4 linked regions of the Arabidopsis thaliana genome follow. The protein of the gene in region 1 purifies or fractionates together with the protein of each later gene. This does not show direct contact. Each region holds a gene or a part of one and is shown on either strand. Other genes may lie near its edges.

Evidence for each region.
Region 2: the proteins of GTC2 (region 1) and FIB2 fractionate together in Arabidopsis thaliana (co-fractionation; one large-scale study listed by BioGRID). This does not show direct contact.
Region 3: the proteins of GTC2 (region 1) and ATRPAC42 fractionate together in Arabidopsis thaliana (co-fractionation; one large-scale study listed by BioGRID). This does not show direct contact.
Region 4: the proteins of GTC2 (region 1) and NF-YB11 fractionate together in Arabidopsis thaliana (co-fractionation; one large-scale study listed by BioGRID). This does not show direct contact.

What each region holds. Positions count from the first base shown.
Region 1 is NC_003075.7:6,583,177-6,586,780, forward strand, and holds GTC2 (GTC2), read left to right. Parts: upstream 1-1,550; coding exon 1,551-2,582; 3' UTR 2,583-3,086; downstream 3,087-3,604. Other genes in the region: AT4G10660 (CDC68-like protein), read left to right, coding at 1-312.
Region 2 is NC_003075.7:13,072,081-13,076,984, forward strand, and holds FIB2 (fibrillarin 2), read left to right. Parts: upstream 1-2,009; 5' UTR 2,010-2,158; coding exon 2,159-2,177; intron 2,178-2,419; coding exon 2,420-2,760; intron 2,761-2,853; coding exon 2,854-2,949; intron 2,950-3,033; coding exon 3,034-3,111; intron 3,112-3,198; coding exon 3,199-3,375; intron 3,376-3,482; exon of another isoform or gene 3,483-3,555; intron 3,556-3,789; coding exon 3,790-3,858; intron 3,859-3,942; coding exon 3,943-4,125; 3' UTR 4,126-4,352; downstream 4,353-4,904. Other genes in the region: DTX35 (detoxifying efflux carrier 35), read right to left, coding at 4,496-4,577, 4,877-4,904. UniProt on the Arabidopsis thaliana protein: S-adenosyl-L-methionine-dependent methyltransferase that has the ability to methylate both RNAs and proteins. Involved in pre-rRNA processing.
Region 3 is NC_003070.9:22,397,363-22,402,149, forward strand, and holds ATRPAC42 (DNA-directed RNA polymerase family protein), read right to left. Parts: upstream 3,052-4,787; 5' UTR 2,923-3,051; exon of another isoform or gene 2,806-2,922; 5' UTR 2,794-2,805; coding exon 2,659-2,793; intron 2,358-2,658; coding exon 2,169-2,357; intron 2,087-2,168; coding exon 1,957-2,086; intron 1,870-1,956; coding exon 1,789-1,869; intron 1,698-1,788; coding exon 1,510-1,697; intron 1,412-1,509; coding exon 1,316-1,411; coding exon of another isoform or gene 1,226-1,315; exon of another isoform or gene 1,203-1,225; coding exon 1,109-1,202; intron 1,024-1,108; coding exon 907-1,023; intron 814-906; coding exon 716-813; 3' UTR 551-715; downstream 1-550. Other genes in the region: AGD2 (ARF-GAP domain 2), read right to left, coding at 3,882-3,996, 4,074-4,519, 4,658-4,748.
Region 4 is NC_003071.7:11,744,420-11,748,223, reverse strand, and holds NF-YB11 (nuclear factor Y, subunit B11), read left to right. Parts: upstream 1-1,768; 5' UTR 1,769-1,848; coding exon 1,849-2,018; intron 2,019-2,037; exon of another isoform or gene 2,038-2,197; coding exon 2,198-2,316; intron 2,317-2,489; coding exon 2,490-3,028; 3' UTR 3,029-3,243; downstream 3,244-3,804. Other genes in the region: ATCOAE (dephospho-CoA kinase family), read left to right, coding at 1-137; AT2G27480 (Calcium-binding EF-hand family protein), read right to left, coding at 339-449, 547-565, 656-831, 940-986, 1,080-1,413; AT2G27460 (sec23/sec24 transport family protein), read right to left, coding at 3,357-3,568, 3,653-3,804. UniProt on the Arabidopsis thaliana protein: Component of the NF-Y/HAP transcription factor complex. The NF-Y complex stimulates the transcription of various genes by recognizing and binding to a CCAAT motif in promoters.

The sequences.
Region 1 (3,604 bases):
ATGTATACATGTAGCAGCGAGATACCGATGGTGTATAAACTTGTCTCCTCAAATTGGGAGGAGATAAATAGTACTACTCTTGACGGCGTGACAATCTTTGCAAGTATGTATTCCTCGGAGACGAGATTGGATGTTCTTGGGATGAGGAACAGTGTGTACTTCCCAAAGTATGGTTTAGATTGCAAGGGATGTGTATCCTACTCGTTTGATGAAGCCAGGTACTATCCGCGTAAGCAGCTTCCAAAACCAACAATATGGCAAATGCAGAAAGAACTTTGCCCTCTTAGGAGTCTGGATCGAGCCACCGTCTAAGGACATCTTAGATGTGATGAAATGATAAGCAAATGGATGATGGTAAAGGTAAGTGAAGCTAGCTTTGAGTTTTCCTATTTTATTTGATATATGTATTTGATCATAGCATGTGTGAAACTTATGGCGACTTTAAGATTCAGTACTGTTAAGCTTTATGTTTTAGCTTTCAAAGTCTTTGTATGTGAATGATTTGAGGCTATGTAAACAGTTTTATTGTTTAACTTCCATAGTCTTTTGCATGTGATTGAATTTTCATATCATTCAAACCGTAATTCTAGCCAAAACCTTTAACATGAAGATATACCCTTTTTGTGACATACTAATGCTAATTTTATTAATCCTATTGAGAATTTAATTTTCATAAGAATAAAATAAAATTAAAGATCATACCCAAAAAAAAAAAGTAATCACAACAACAAAATTTCTCTTTTAATTTTCTCTGATTCAAAACCCTAGCCGTCGTCTGAGCATGGACAAGTTTGTACTATCATGTTCCTCCTTTCTTCATCGACCATCAATAATATGAACTGCAGATTAGGGAAGGAGGTCGCAGATGGAAACGAAAGAAGGATATGAAGAAAGAAAAACGATCGAGAGCTACATATGTTCTTGAAGAGGTTATGATTTACAGTTTCTAAACCCTAGATCTCCTCATGATTTATTAGTATGACATATATATATATATATATAACTTAATACTTCTTCTGTTTTATATTAGTTGTAGTTTAAGATATTTACACACATATTAAGAAATCATAAAAATCTCATTTAATCTACTTTTTTATATAAAAAATATCATTAATTATAACCAATTCAACCAATAAAAAATATATGATTAAATACAATTGGTTAAAAAGTATTAAATATATTTATTATTTGTATATAAAGTTGAAAACAATTTGAAAAAGAAATAAAAACCCTTAAACTACATTTATATAGAAACAGATTTTAATGATAAAAAAGATTTCTTCCTTTTTATTATTTCCTTTTCTCTTTATGTTTGTGTTTACGTTTTCTTATAAATAGAGATTGTTTTCTTCTTAGAAGAGGCATCCGAAATAACTTGTTCTCGTTGAAGTTTACTTTCTTACGTTTTTTTTTCTTCTGTTCTCTTTCAGTTCTATAAAGAGGCTTATTACTTGAAGTTTGATTCTTGGTCTGTGGTTGTATTCGATCAGCTTGCTGGTGACATGTAGCTCTACAAGAATATTAACGACATACCCCAACCTAGGGATTTGATGATCACGGTTGATCACAAGAGCGACACTGTATTGTTACCAATATACGGCAGGATGGTTCCATTCAACGTGACTACAATAAGAACAGTCTTAGGCAATCAAAACACCATCCGTGTAATATTCAATGTCCCGGGTACACCCTTAAACCCTAATGACTCTTTGAAAAACAAGGACGCTATCTACCTCAAGGAGGTTTCATTCCGGACCAAGGATTCAAGGCATAGCAGCGATGTAGTTCAACAGGTTAAGAGCCTCAGACGGAAAGTCATGGCACGGGAGTCAGAGAGAGCTGAGAGAACTTCACTGGTGAACCAAGAAAAACTTCAGATTGTAAGGAACAACTCAAAACCCTTAAGTTTGTCCAATCTGTGGATCCGTCCGCCTTTTAGTGGACGCAAGAAGAATCGTGGGACACTTGAAGCTCATGTCAATGGTTTTAGGTATTCAACGACCAACGAGCGCGTTGATGTCCTGTTTGCAAACATAAAGCATGCGTTTTTTCAGCCGGCGGAGAAGGAGATGACCACCCTCTTACATTTTCATCTCCACAACCACATCATGGTAGGAACCAAGAAAACAAAAGACGTACAGTTTTATGTGGAGGTAATGGATGTTGTGCAGTCTTTAGGAGGTAGGAGGAGATCATCAGCTTATGATGCAGATGAGATTGTTGAAGAACAGAGAGAGCGCGATAGGAAAAATAAGATCAACATGGATTTCAATCACTTTGCAAATCAGGTCAACGATATGTGGCAACTACCCCAGTTTGCAAGTTTGAGCTTAGAGTTTGATCAACCTCTGAGAGAGTTTGGTTTCAATGGTGTCCCCCACAAGACATCTACCTTCATAATACCGACCTCAAGCTGCTTAGTTGAGCTGACAGAATCCCCGTTCTTGGTGGTCTGTCTAAGTGAGATTGAGATTGTGAATCTTGAGAGAGTTGGGTTTGGTCAAAAGAGCTTTGACATGGCTATCATCTTCAAGGACTTGAAGAAAGATGTTCTTAGGGTTGACTCAGTTCCAACAAGTTAGTTAGAGGGGATAAAGGAATGGCTTGACACTACAGATATAAAGTACTACGAGAGCAAACTGAATCTGAACTGGAGACAGATCCTGAAGACGATCACGGATGATCCGCAGAGCTTTACAGATGCTGGAGGATGGGAGTTTTTGAATCAGGACGGAAGCGATTCAGAGTCTGGCGGCTCTGAGGACTCAGACAAAGGGTATGAACCATCAGATGTGGAGGTTGAGTCTGAGTCAGAGGACGAGACATCAGAGAGTGAGTCAGACGATGAAGAAGAAGAAGAGGACTCAGAGCAAGAGTCAGAGGAAGAGAAAGGTAAGACTTGGGCTGAGCTGGAGAGAGAAGCTACTAATGCAGACAGAGAGCATGGAGTTGAGTCTGATAGTGAGGAAGAGAGGAAGAGAAGGAAGATGAAAGCGTTTGGGAAATCGCGTCCTGGAAGTAGCGGTGCAGGCGGTAGTAGCAGCATGAAGAACATGCCACCATCTAAACGCAGCAGGCACCGGTGAAAACAAAATAATCAAGAGTTTGAGTTCTGCTTGCTTATCATTTTAGCCTTTTGTTCTGCTTATCTTTTGTATCATATAAAAAAACTGCTTTAGATTATTATCTATCTATTCTATGCCCTTGGGAAAATAATGAAGTCTTAGGTTTCTTGTCGTTCTTAATAAAATTTGTTTCGACTTAAATTGGCAGAAAATACCATTGTGGCATCCTCTAACGGTTGGTCTTGTAAATAATTAAAGGGTATGCCATAAACCAAAAGGTAAAAATGAATACTTAAGTTATTAAAGAAATCTTGGATTCACCATTATTATTATGAGATACGAAGATGTTCCCACTATTAGTGGTGGTGAGTTTCCTGTGGGACAAGCAATAGAAAGGTTTCCAATCGACGATGTCTAAGAGACAAAACACATCAAAGCTCACAAGCTCATTCACCCATCTCCCTGCTGATGCTGATCTTGTCTTCATCACCCATGCATCAACTTCAACTTAATTAGCTTATATACACAACTCTCTCTGG
Region 2 (4,904 bases), 6.5 Mb from region 1:
ATTGTCATTGCAAAGTGTGTTAGCTCATTATGCACATGGTGGTTTAGCTCTTTATGTAGATTGTTAGGATCTGGTTTGAAAAAATAAATAATAGTTACTTAACATTCATACCCAAAAAAATAATAAAGAATAGTTGATAATATTTCATGAAAATCGATTTGTTTTGGTGGACATACATCGTCGTCTCTACTCTATTGTCTCGATCGCAAGTAATATGACAAATAAAGCAGCAGCCCTAGCAATAAAACATGTGACTACTAAAATAGGAGGATTTATCTTTACTTGACGAACTATAAATTAAATATCTACTCTTTTACCTTGACTTTGAAAATTACTTTTTAAGATTGCCTTTTACAATTATGTGGAATAGCGGCACACATTTACGTAAATTTAACTTCAATTTAAAACAATGATTTATTCATTTTCATCATACAAACTTTTCAGCACATTTTCTCCTTTTTAATATAATTTTATATATTATAGATAGAGATATAGATCAAACAATGTATGACTTTAAACTTAGATTGTAAATTCTTCTTACTATGCTCGAAAATTTCATCTACGTATATAGATCTATTGTAAACCTAAGTTTAAAACGGAAATCAGTTATTGATAGTAATCTAGTAAGTTTAATCAACTATGCGTTATAACATAATGAAATCATATATACGAGCTTAGATATCTAATTCAGTTAATCAACAAGTCAACTAAACAAGGCTTCACTTTTCCACACCTCTACAGATCGAAATTATTATATATTCGAATTATGTAACTAATGTAAGTCTTGCAACGTGTGGATAGATACAAAATGGATATGTCCATAGGTATACATATTAAAAATATAACTAGAAATGGTATATTACTAACAAAATTTTACCCCCAAAGGTGGCCATCCACTAGTAGCCACATGCTTATCTAGTAGACATTGAACATGATAAAAAGTGCCAAATAAGTGGAATAATCAATGGGAATCTTCATTCCTATAAACAAAAACATTTTCAAGCCTATGACATAGCTAGCTACTCTACAACATGTATATGCCAATTGGGATATAAATGTATTAAAGCATAACCATTAATTTGACAAATAGAAATAAATAGTTCAGAATGTATAAGTTGAGAAAAGTTATAATGATTGGTAGGGAGAGACTCAAAAAGAAAAAAGGATGGGTAATGGGACCTATTTTCCCCAACATCCCACATGCACACTTCCCTCTCCATTCTCTCACATTTATTTCTTTCATTCTAATTTATCCATTCCGTGTGTAACATATTCACTAATAATCTCATCTCACTAACTCATTCATTGATTGTGATATGTTTATCTAGAATTAGTGTTTTAACACTGTGTCTACATATGATTTCCTTTTCATTGTATGTGAACATGTTAACTCACTAATCATTTTGTATTTTCGAGTTAACATGAGTCTCCACTTCGGTAGACTAAAGTAAAGATAGGTTTGAGTATAATAAAGTTTAAAATTTGCTTTAAAATCAATATTTATAAATAAGTTTTTATCATAAGTGATTTTTGTATGTTATATTGGACCTTGTATAAACAGACTACAGAAGAAAATTATTTATGAGAACTTGTAATGTTAGAGTGGACCTCGTATAAACTAATTATGTGGGCTTTTACCATAAACTATTTATGAAAATTATTATGGCCCACACCACTATAACTAAAGCCCACATATTTAGCAGCCCAGTTTCATTGTAAGAGACATGTTCGCTCTGGAACTAGAATTTTCTGGTTTTTGGGTATTTGTTTTCTTATGTGTAGAGAAATGATGGTAACGATTAAATGTTGTGTATTACAATTTACAATGGTAAGACGATTAATATATTTACACACAATTTTGTTGTTGCTGTAACACGTTAGTGTGTGTGATGATAGAATTTCATAAAGCTTTAACTACGAGGGGCAAAATGTTAATTCTAAATAGTTGACAGCAGAAAAAGATATGTATACATAATATAAGGATTAAAACGTAAATAATAATAAATAAGGCGAGTTAAATTAAAACCCTGTTAAAACCCTAGCTTGAAACACATGTATAAAAACACTTGCGAGCGCAGCTTCATCGCCATCGCCATTCTCTCTCTCATCAAAAGCTTTTCTCCTTGATTTTCGCATTCTTTAGAGTCTTAACGCAAAGATGAGACCTCCTCTAACTGGTAAGAACCCTAGCCGCCTCTTCTCTTTTCTTCATTGCTTGCTTATCAGATTAACAATGGCGAGTGACACTCTTAGCTCGTTTAGTCTTTAAAACTTTATGTCTTTAGCTGAACTGATTGTCAACTTTGTTCTTTTTTGCTTAGAACTGTATTGGGTCTGCGTTAGTTCTATCGGATATAGAGTTGATGGTTGGGTTTTATGTTAAACATGGAGTCTCTAATGAATGGTCTTTTGTGTTCAGGAAGTGGTGGTGGGTTCAGTGGTGGAAGAGGGCGTGGTGGATACAGTGGTGGTAGAGGTGACGGTGGATTCAGTGGTGGTCGAGGTGGCGGTGGTAGAGGAGGAGGAAGAGGTTTCAGCGACCGTGGTGGTCGCGGCAGAGGAAGAGGACCACCACGTGGTGGTGCTCGCGGCGGCAGAGGACCAGCTGGCCGTGGAGGCATGAAAGGAGGAAGCAAAGTGATTGTGGAACCTCACAGACACGCAGGAGTGTTCATTGCAAAGGGTAAAGAAGATGCCCTTGTTACCAAGAATTTGGTTCCTGGTGAAGCTGTCTACAACGAGAAGAGAATCTCTGTTCAGGTATTATAGAGGATTGATTAATTGATTGATGGTTTGTATTTGCACTCCTTTTGATGAATTTGTTTTTAATGGTTCTTGTGATTGAATCTGCAGAACGAAGATGGAACCAAGACTGAATACAGAGTTTGGAATCCTTTCCGTTCGAAGTTGGCTGCTGCTATTCTTGGTGGTGTTGATAACATCTGGATTGTAAGCATCAGCTTGTGTGAATCTTATTGTTGTTGTTTGCGAGACTTGGTTCATATATTGATTGTTGTTCCCGTTTCAATGTAGAAACCTGGTGCTAAAGTTCTATACCTTGGTGCTGCTTCTGGAACCACAGTCTCTCATGTGTCTGATCTTGTTGGCCCTGTAAGCAGAACCCGTCCTTTATGTTGTGATTATCAGGTTTTAGACGTGTATTGGAGTTTCTTATATATTGCCTTTGTGATCTGATAGGAGGGGTGTGTGTACGCGGTTGAGTTTTCTCATAGAAGTGGTAGAGATTTGGTGAACATGGCAAAGAAGAGAACCAATGTTATTCCAATCATCGAGGATGCTAGACACCCAGCTAAATACAGAATGCTTGTAGGCATGGTTGATGTTATCTTCTCTGATGTTGCTCAGCCAGATCAGGTTTGCTTCTTTTGTTTAACTCACAATGAATGTCTAAATATTTGCCTCAAAAAGCTTGACCCAATACCATTATATGTGTCCTTTGCTTTAAAATGGTGTTTTGATAATTGCAAATGATGATCTTACTTGGATTCCCCTTCAGATCATTATGGGTGATGCAATCTCCAAGTTTCTGATGTACTGAAAATTCTTGTTTTTGTTTTTGTTAAGCTTAATCTTATTTTACTATGTACTTGTTTTACAATTTCGTTTTTAAGAACAATACTAAATTTAAATGTCTATTATTGCTCGGTTTTGGTTCTCCTGATGTTAAACCTACTTGTTTTCTAAATGCCATTCAGCTTGTGGGTTGCTTCTAGTATACTTTATACTGTTTTGTTTATGAAATTTTCTGTGCCATTTAAAACCGTGCAGGCTAGGATCTTGGCTTTGAATGCATCATACTTCCTCAAGTCAGGAGGACACTTTGTGATCTCAATAAAGGTGGGTAGCAATCGAAACATTTATTTAATCCATGATCTCTCAAGAGAGAAAGATTAGTGAACATGTATTGTCTCATTTTTGCAGGCAAACTGTATCGACTCCACCGTTCCAGCAGAAGCTGTGTTCCAGACTGAAGTGAAGAAGCTTCAACAGGAGCAATTCAAACCAGCTGAGCAAGTGACGCTTGAGCCATTTGAGCGTGACCATGCATGTGTCGTTGGTGGCTACCGTATGCCTAAGAAGCCAAAGGCTGCTACTGCTGCTTAGAAGTTTTCTACTCTACGCTCTTCCCAGTACCTCAGATTTTGCTTTGTCTCGGTCTCTTTAGAATCTGTATGGTTTTAGGGTTTATCTTAAATTTTGAGCTTTGTAATCATTTTGAACCCTGGTTATGTTCACTTGGCTTCCAGCGCTAACTTTTTCGACAAGTTTTTGATATATGGAACAATTATAATAGAATTTTGTCGACTGAGGTTGATTTCTTTAAATAATGACACCTCGTAATGCAAATGTAAAACGCCGCAAGAATTTGCACACAAACAAAACAAAGTTTGAAGACACGTTGCATTTTTAGGACACAAGCCAAGGAAATGTAAATACAAAAAGCTCACGCAGAAACTGTAACAAAAAACTAATGTCAGAAGTGGGGTTTGAACCCACGCCCTCTTACGAAGACCAGAACTTGAGTCTGGCGCCTTAGACCACTCGGCCATCCTGACCTTCTTTATTAAATATCATTGACAACATATATAGCAGGATGAAAAAACTAGAATGGCTTATTCTCAAGCATCTGGAATTTTATTTGGGTTACAAATTTTTTTGATACATTTGGGTTACATGAGGAAAAGTAACTAACATTTGTAATGCAATTTTTCCTTTTGGAAGTAAGTAACAAAACATAACTGATGGAACAGTTTCCTACAATCTAAAACTCTAAATAGAACAATTTGGTGCCCAAACCAATGAAAGACAAACAAAAAGTCACTACTAAGCTTAACAAAAAAAAAACATCAATCACGCAAGTATATCCTTGGATGTCGTCTCAC
Region 3 (4,787 bases), on another chromosome or scaffold:
AAAATTCACAACCACATTGTCGAACTTTGTTTATATTCCCTTATCATAATCAGTCTTACTATTAGCATAATCAACTGTTTATGTACTGATGTCTTCTAATTAGAAAACTTAAAAAGGTAAAGAAAAAATAGAAAAAGAAAGAGCTCAGTTAAGAGGCCATATCACCAGATAAACTGGAGAAATGCAAAGGACCCAACCTTTACAGAAACCGATTTCATCACAGCTCTATTGCACCAGCCGGGAATCGAACCCGGGTCTGTACCGTGGCAGAGTACTATTCTACCACTAGACCACTGGTGCTACTTGTTTAAATGTTACTTCTTCAGTTATTTATACATAAACTCTCATAGTTCATATTTAATGAGAACATTTTGTATAATCTAATGTGGCAGGGATCTATTCTACCACTGACGCTATTTTAAGTGTTCAATGAAACCAAAAACTACTATTACCAACACACACCTTGATTGGCACAATGTAAGGAATGGCGTCAGTGTTCTAGTGGTAGAATAGTAAAACCAAATTAAACCGAAGCAGATTTCCAAAATTGGTTCAGCTAGGAATTTTGTTATGAATCAGAACTCAGAAGGCTAATGAAAATCCAAATTGAACAACAACCGTATAAATAAATATGTCAATGTTGTTTGTTGGTAATTTATCAATAGGAGGAGAAACATTGATAGACAGACAATTCAAAATTGAACTAAACCAGAACTCAAAAGTCGGTTATAGCTTCACATTTAGCTTCCAATATCTTCACAGCTTCAGTGAAGAGAACCTCTGGAGGCAGTGATCCGGTGGACTCAATGTTAACTGAGAAAAAAGACGACAAGAAACTCAATTACGATATCTTTCAGATCATGAGTAGCAGAGTAAAAGGAATGGGTTTTATTTTTCTCTTCTTACATATAAAATGGTTCTTAACACTGCCAAGATCCACATGGTCTACCAAATCATCGTCTCTTACGCATTCCTTACACAATGTGCACTTACGTGGCTGCGCTACTGTTGCCCTTTTCTTACCTGTTTTCCACAAGTCAGTATGAAATCAAATTTAAGTAAGTCATGCAGCCAAGTTCATCAGCTTGCATAAGATTTTATACTTCACCTTTTCCCATGTCTTCAATGTCGAAAACATTCTGTGGGCAGACGTTTACAAGTCGTTCAGCAAGTTCATCCTCAACTTCCCCACGTAGAACCACCTAAGATAGTATAAACAAAAGCATTACGAAACATATATATTGGGATGAGGAAAGACAAAACAAAGAGCTGTTTCCCATAAAGCATATGATAGATTGATGTATATACTTCTCACCTCAGGATGCATTCTATACCAAGCAGTCCCTACTGGAGACCACTTTGCATGTGTTTTACCAATGCCCTTAACCGCATGAGCTTCGAGCTCGATTTCCTGGGAAAAAAGAGATAAAAGAAGATGCACATGTTTCATCTCTCATTGCAAGTATGGTCTGCTTGGGTGTATATAAAAAGAATGTACAGAAACACTACCTGACCAGGGGCGAGTTTTGCTATCAAGATATCGAGGTCGCATGGAGTGATAGGATTATTAGCAAATTCAGGTAATGAATCTTGGCTGCAACTGAATGAAGTGTAAGTTTTTGGCTTTGAGGTTTTATTTTCCGATTCTCTCAGAAGCTCACTTCCATTTGGTAACCATTTTAAATCACTCGTTAAAACTACAAGAAAACGAAATGATATCTTTCATGAGAGATGGAGCTGATAATAAAACAAGAAATCTTCTGATGCTAACTAATGAACATATATTACCTTTAAGACGTGGTCTATTTTTCGGACATTTCACATGGAGTTTGAATACAATGGTGTTCTTTTCATTCGCCTGATCATGTTCTATCATACACAGATAAAGAAGTAAGCTAATCAGAAGAATTATCATCATATGTAGATGGATCACATACCACTGAAATATATGCTTACCGGATAAATATTCAAAAAGTCTTGGATCTGCGGCAATTGGAATAAGACCCATCCTGTGAGCAAGAACTTCGTCTATAATAACCGATGTGTTGTACGCTATCAACACTTTTTCAATAGCCATTGAAGGAACCTGCAATAAAGAAAGAAGCACTTTAAGCCAAAGATTACAACAATGAGGGATTCATCAGAGGTTGTATGAAAACTTGACAGACCTCAGCTATAAGGATCCTTCGGAATGCATTGGCAAACGCTGCATCAATACCAATCATATCAAATTCCATATCTGTCTTTGTGAGACTAACCACATCAACTTTGAAGTTATCATAGAAGTTTCCTAGCTTCACATTGTCGTCCTCTTCCGTAGAAGAAACATAGGTACCCGAGTAAATGGCACTCGCAGTCTACAGAAAACACAAACACAAGATTAAAGACTTCAAATTTCAAACAATCACTACTCAATATCATCTTGAATTTGAAAACAAAAGGTGTATTCTGGTAAAACACTTAAGAGCCAAACTCGTAAATTCACAGCTTTTCACAGGAAAAAACAAAACTTTTACTCTGTATCATGAACACAGCAACGATAGAACTCAAACCCACATGGGATCATTGAGAAAAGCTATAAAATTTGTAATTAGATAAGCTTATAACCAACAAAACAGAGCATAAAAGATTGTAACTTTGAACGAGAATAGTTCTTACATGAGCAGGAGCGTTGTTTTTAGAGACGACACGAGTTTGCTGGGCTTTGAGATGTGGAGGAAGTCCGGCAGGGACGTCAGGGAGATCGTCTATGTTGAAATTTTTGGCGAATTGTTTTTCTGCTTTAGTCACCATCCTTGTCTAGGTCTATAGCAGAACTAGGGTTTATCAAATTGAGAAAGAGAATTGAAGGGTTTAACAAAGGAAACCACAGGGGGTGAGGAAAGTAGTATTGGGTCAAAGAGTGAAGTCGAAGAAGCTTACCTGTGGCCGAGAGAATTGAGCAATTTAGAGAGAAAGAGAGAGTAGGAGGCGGCGGCGAGGAGATGAAGAACAAACGGTGAAGGGTTTTGAAAAAGCCGCCGGTTTTATTTAATCCCTTAACTCTTTCCGGTTCGAATTAAAACGCATTATTACCAAAAGAAACAATAAAAAATTCATTTCAAAAGAATACTTCTTCTTTTTTTACATTTCAAAAGAATACTGTTTAACACTAAAAATAAAGCCATTACTTTAAAAAATAAAAATTTATTCCACAAGATGAATACTTTCTTTTGCTCATGATTTTGTTTTATAGCAAAAAACAATAATAAGAATTTATTCTTTTTCGGTGAATTGTTTAATTTAAAAAAAAAAAAAAAACTTTTCTGCAATCAATTCGCAGCATATTGGTTAAGCTAAGAATATAAACTAAAAACATATGTAAACAACAATTCTAGGAATGACTCCTTTTGTTTTTGGCATCTACTGTGAATGATAGGCTTTTTTGAACTCTAATTAATATTGGTCAAAAAAAAAATGTCGATGGGACTCTTCTACGTTAGTATCTAAGAATGTGGCAATAGCACTACTTAATTTAGAGCAAAATAATAGAAGAAAACACGACACTTACTTCATCAAATTTTTGTTGGGCAATGAGAATGTTGTCTATAATAAAGTTTCCGGCTACAAAACACATATTTGTATCTCGGATATCAAATACAGAAGAAGAAAAAAAAACTTTGAGGTGCAGGCTTAGAATCTTTGAGATCATCTTATGTATAACATTACAAAGGCTAATACAGTAGGTCGGAATCTTGACATTTCCTAGAGTTCTATCTCCTTCGGGAATTAGGTAAATATTGGAGCATCAATGCGATGAGCAAGTCATGACCAAATACTACAACAGTTACAAGTTACATTCCTTTGCGTAGCAATCAATCAGCAAATGGTATATTGGTAATTTACTGACACTCTGCTAATAGAAGGAAGAGCTCTTCATCGGTTATGGCTCCCATCTCCATTGCCCTTTCCAACACACTTAATCCTCCACCATCCTCTATTGATGGACGAGCACCTCTGTCAAATTCAAAGAAGAGAGACACTAAGTATCTACTCAAAGTGCCCCTCATGAGATTTATTAGTTAGTGTGTTACCTTCTCAGCAAAACCTTTGCAAATGCGTTGTTCCCTGATGCGATGCAATGGTGTAATGGAGTTCGTCCGTGGTAATCTCTCATGTTTATGTCAGCCCCGAACTGCAACAGCAGTTCAAGCAAGATTGGGTCACCGCTTTGACACGCCACATGCAACAATGAGCAGCCTTGAAGACAGTTTCTTGCTTCGTTCGAATTCTTGATTCTCTGACACGCATTTGGATCGTGCCTTTTCTTTACTTCATCTGGTGCATCAACATGGTGGTGGTGATATACATCAAGGTCAGTAATATCATCGAACTTGGTATTGATGATATTTGCATCTGCTTTTACAATGAGTCGGTAGATGTCTCTTATGTTCCTGCTTTGAACCGCTTCCCATATTCTACTTGAGGCAGTAGAATTTGCTTCTCTTTCATCTTTGACAACTAGTGCTTTCTCCAGGTACTAGCTAGGCATAAACATTATCAGCTTTAGTATCATAAGCCTTTTCTATTCACAAGAATATGCTCATTTGGATGATGCGTCAAGTGACATGAATCTGAGGTCTATGTATGCGAAAACTTTAAGAACTAAATCTCATACCTTTCCGTTAATATATTTCTCCTTCAGAGTAAACCAATCTTCTGAAGATGGTTTCGAAACTGATGCAAGTGTGTCTGTCGATCCCTTTTCACTGTAAATATTCAACAGAAGATAGGATCATAGGAAAGTA
Region 4 (3,804 bases), on another chromosome or scaffold:
TCGAGAAGGTTTTGATTGAAATTAGAAGACCATTGACGTGGATCGAGTTTTGGCGTTCAAGGCAAGGAGCCTTCTCGGTCCTTGGTTCAGTGATTTTAGGATTATCTGTTTGCAAACAGCTCAAAATTGGCTCTTAACATTTCACTTCTGTTACTGCTAAAAAACTTGTTATAATCTTAAAGCTTTGATTTATTATTCTCTTGCTCTCTTCAGCATTAGCTTATTACACTATTCACTAGTTTGAATTCACTCTCCTATTCAGTCAGTACTCAGGCATCTATTATCTATATACAACTTGAATCTGTGATTGAGAAAAAGAAAGAAGTAGCAAGTGACCATTAATCATAGGTGGCGATGAACGGAATGACCATCAACATGAAGACATCGTAAGAGAGCGTTGCGTAGCCTGTGTAACCAGGGTCGTTCTCCCTGAACTTCTCTGTCAATCCCTGTTAATAAGCATACGACACATTTTAAACAATTTCAAGTGGTTTAGATTCATGTAAACACATTGTCGAAATTCTCATGGAGGTTAAAAGATCATACCTTCACAATCATCCCACACCTGCAGAACAAAATGAGGGAAACAAACCGATGATGCTTAGTATACAAATTAAGAACCGCAAGAATCGATGAAAACATACAGAAAACTTACTCGAGGAAGCTGTCGAAACATAGGTCAACAGTTTTGCCAGTCCCATCATCAAACTGAGATACGATAAGCTGGTGAACCGAGGTTGGAAGCACGCACCCGAGATTATAGAAAGCGTCTCTGAGCTGGGTAGAATTCATCTTTCCACTCCTATCTCTATCGTACCTGTTAAATATTGCCTACAAAAGAACACACATTGAAAAGTAACACTCCATTTTTAACTTTTAAGGCATAGAAGAATACACACATTGCCTCAACTAGATTGATCCACATAAGTGTTCACTTACACGCCATTGCGCAAGGCAGTTCCATAACTCAACATACTCCTTAGGACCTACATAAAAAGGTAGAAACATGGCTATTTTGTAACATCATTCATATTTGAAATCAAAAAGCCAATTTCAAAAGCTGCAATAAGTGAATTTACCAAGCCGAAGCAGAGAATCTACAGGAATCTTGTAAATAAACAACAGCAACCTAATCGTTCTGTTACTAATTCCATCGTACCCAGATAACGACAACGCTTGCCGGAGCTCCGATTCTTCGAGAAATCCGCTCCGGTTTCTATCCGCCGACTCAAAGCTCCTCACAATCTCCGGATGCGTTTCCGGGGAAAACATCCCGGAGTAAGAGCTGAATTGCTGAGTTGGTTGATATGATGGATACGCGTAAGTGTATCTACTTTCACCATCGTGCTGCTGCTGAACGAACGATTCTGGTAGCTCCGGTGCCGACGGTGCGTAGGCGTTTGAGTAAGACATTAATCAGAGTATGAAATTCTTAGAAATGGCTCGAATTCGGAGAATCTGGTTATTCGAAGATGTCTCAAATTCCAGAGGTTGAAGACGACTCCGATTCTTATTCGTGTTTTGATCGAATTTATTAGTATTACGATTGGACGGTGAAGATTTAATAAAGGTTATCCAACGGTGAGATTGACAACGTGCTCATAACTCTTTAGTGCTTATCAATTTGAATAATGGGCCGATTTGCTAGTACGATTTGACGGCTAGGATTTTGTCAATCAATCCAACGGGTAATATTGAGCGGCGTGGTCATAACTCTTTAGTGCTTATAAACTTGAATATGGGCTTTTAAATATTTTAATAGGCTGATCAGCTTACTGGGCCGATGTGTTTTGTTGTATTATTAACATAAAGGCGGGAAAGACGGCGACTGAGAGAGAGGAGAGAAGAATGGAGTCGGAGAAAGTGGTGGTGGACGAGCTGCCGCTAGCTATTGTGCGCCGGGTGGTGAAGAAGAAGCTGTCGGAGTGTTCGCCGGATTATGACGTCAGTATTCACAAGGAAGCTTTGCTCGCATTCTCAGAGAGTGCGAGGATCTTCATCCACTACCTCTCCGCCACGTATGTACACTTCACAAACCCTAACTTTTTTTCGAATTTCTGCACTATGATAGTGAATGATTTGGAATGTTCCAAGTTTGGGTTTATGTTAATGTGATTCAATTGATGAATGTTAGTGTTTGTGAATTGTGATCGATCGAATTGATGGATTTAGTTTAATTTGGGGGTGAATGATATAGGGCAAATGATTTTTGTAAAGATGCAAGAAGACAAACTATGAAGGCTGATGATGTGTTTAAGGCATTAGAAGAAATGGATTTTTCAGAATTTTTGGAGCCGCTTAAATCTTCTCTTGAAGGTAAGTGTTTTGTTCGGATGAAGATCCTATTGTCACTATCTGTTGTTACTTTCATGGAGTGTTAGTAGAAATGGCTTAGGTTGTGATTTGTCTTGTTATGGACACTGGCCTAGGTGTGTGCACTTTGAGCTTATGATGTCAATCCTAGTGTAATCCACATGACTGGTTTTCAGATTTTAAGAAGAAGAATGCGGGGAAAAAGGCGGGTGCTGCAGCTGCTTCGTATCCTGCTGGTGGAGCTGCTTTGAAATCTTCAAGTGGAACTGCTTCGAAGCCCAAAGAGACGAAGAAGAGGAAACAGGAAGAACCATCTACGCAAAAGGGTGCAAGGAAAAGCAAAATAGATGAGGAAACTAAGAGGAATGACGAGGAGACTGAGAATGACAACACGGAAGAAGAGAATGGAAACGATGAGGAGGATGAGAATGGAAACGATGAGGAAGATGAGAATGACGATGAAAATACAGAAGAGAATGGGAATGATGAGGAGAACGACGATGAAAATACGGAAGAGAATGGGAATGATGAGGAGAACGAGAAGGAGGATGAGGAAAACAGCATGGAAGAGAATGGGAATGAGAGCGAAGAGAGCGGGAATGAGGACCATAGCATGGAAGAAAATGGGAGCGGGGTTGGTGAAGATAATGAGAACGAGGACGGGAGCGTAAGTGGAAGTGGTGAAGAGGTAGAGAGTGATGAAGAAGATGAATGAACTCAAGGTTATATTTTTGCTAAGAACATGTTTTCAGGTTTATGTTGGAGATTAGCTTGTAAGCTTGAAGCAGTGGTTGTGGCCATGAGCATGTAATAGACTAACATATCTTTTTGCTCTTTGGCTCTAGTGTTACCAAATATGTAAGTCAAAGTTTAGAAAATGAAGTTTTGCAACAAAATTTTAGCTTAATTATTCATTTTGATTAAGAGAGCAAAAAAGTTGGGATGCTAGTCTAAAGCAAATGTTACAACAAGAAGAGTAAAACTCTGACACAGTTGAAAATTTTGAGTTTGGATGTATAATAAACTAGAGGGTCATTTGGCTTTCACTTCATGTATTCAGTGACACGCTGCGAAATATCATCGAGGAAAGACACGAAACCCATGGCGCTAGCAAAACCATTACCGTCCACATCTTGTTCTTCTATAAGATAGTTCTCAAAGACAGTAGCATCGTCTCGTCCTCCTCGGATAAACACTAGTTTTGGTGTGATGCTCCTTTCTTGCTTCACTTTATTTATGGTCTGCCTCAATAAACCTGTAAGATATAAGTTTTCGAATCAACATAGTCTCAAAGATCTAAAGGTGGTTGAACTGGATTTCATTTGGTGAGAAAACTTACAGTCTTGAGGTGGAGGGAAAGGTATTGACGGGTCTGCTGTTGATGAGTAGAAGACTATCAAAGTGGTATATGCATCTAGGAAAAATATCGGACTACCACTTGTTATCAATGCTGCACGGCTCAACGAATGACGCGGATATGCCAGTGTATCC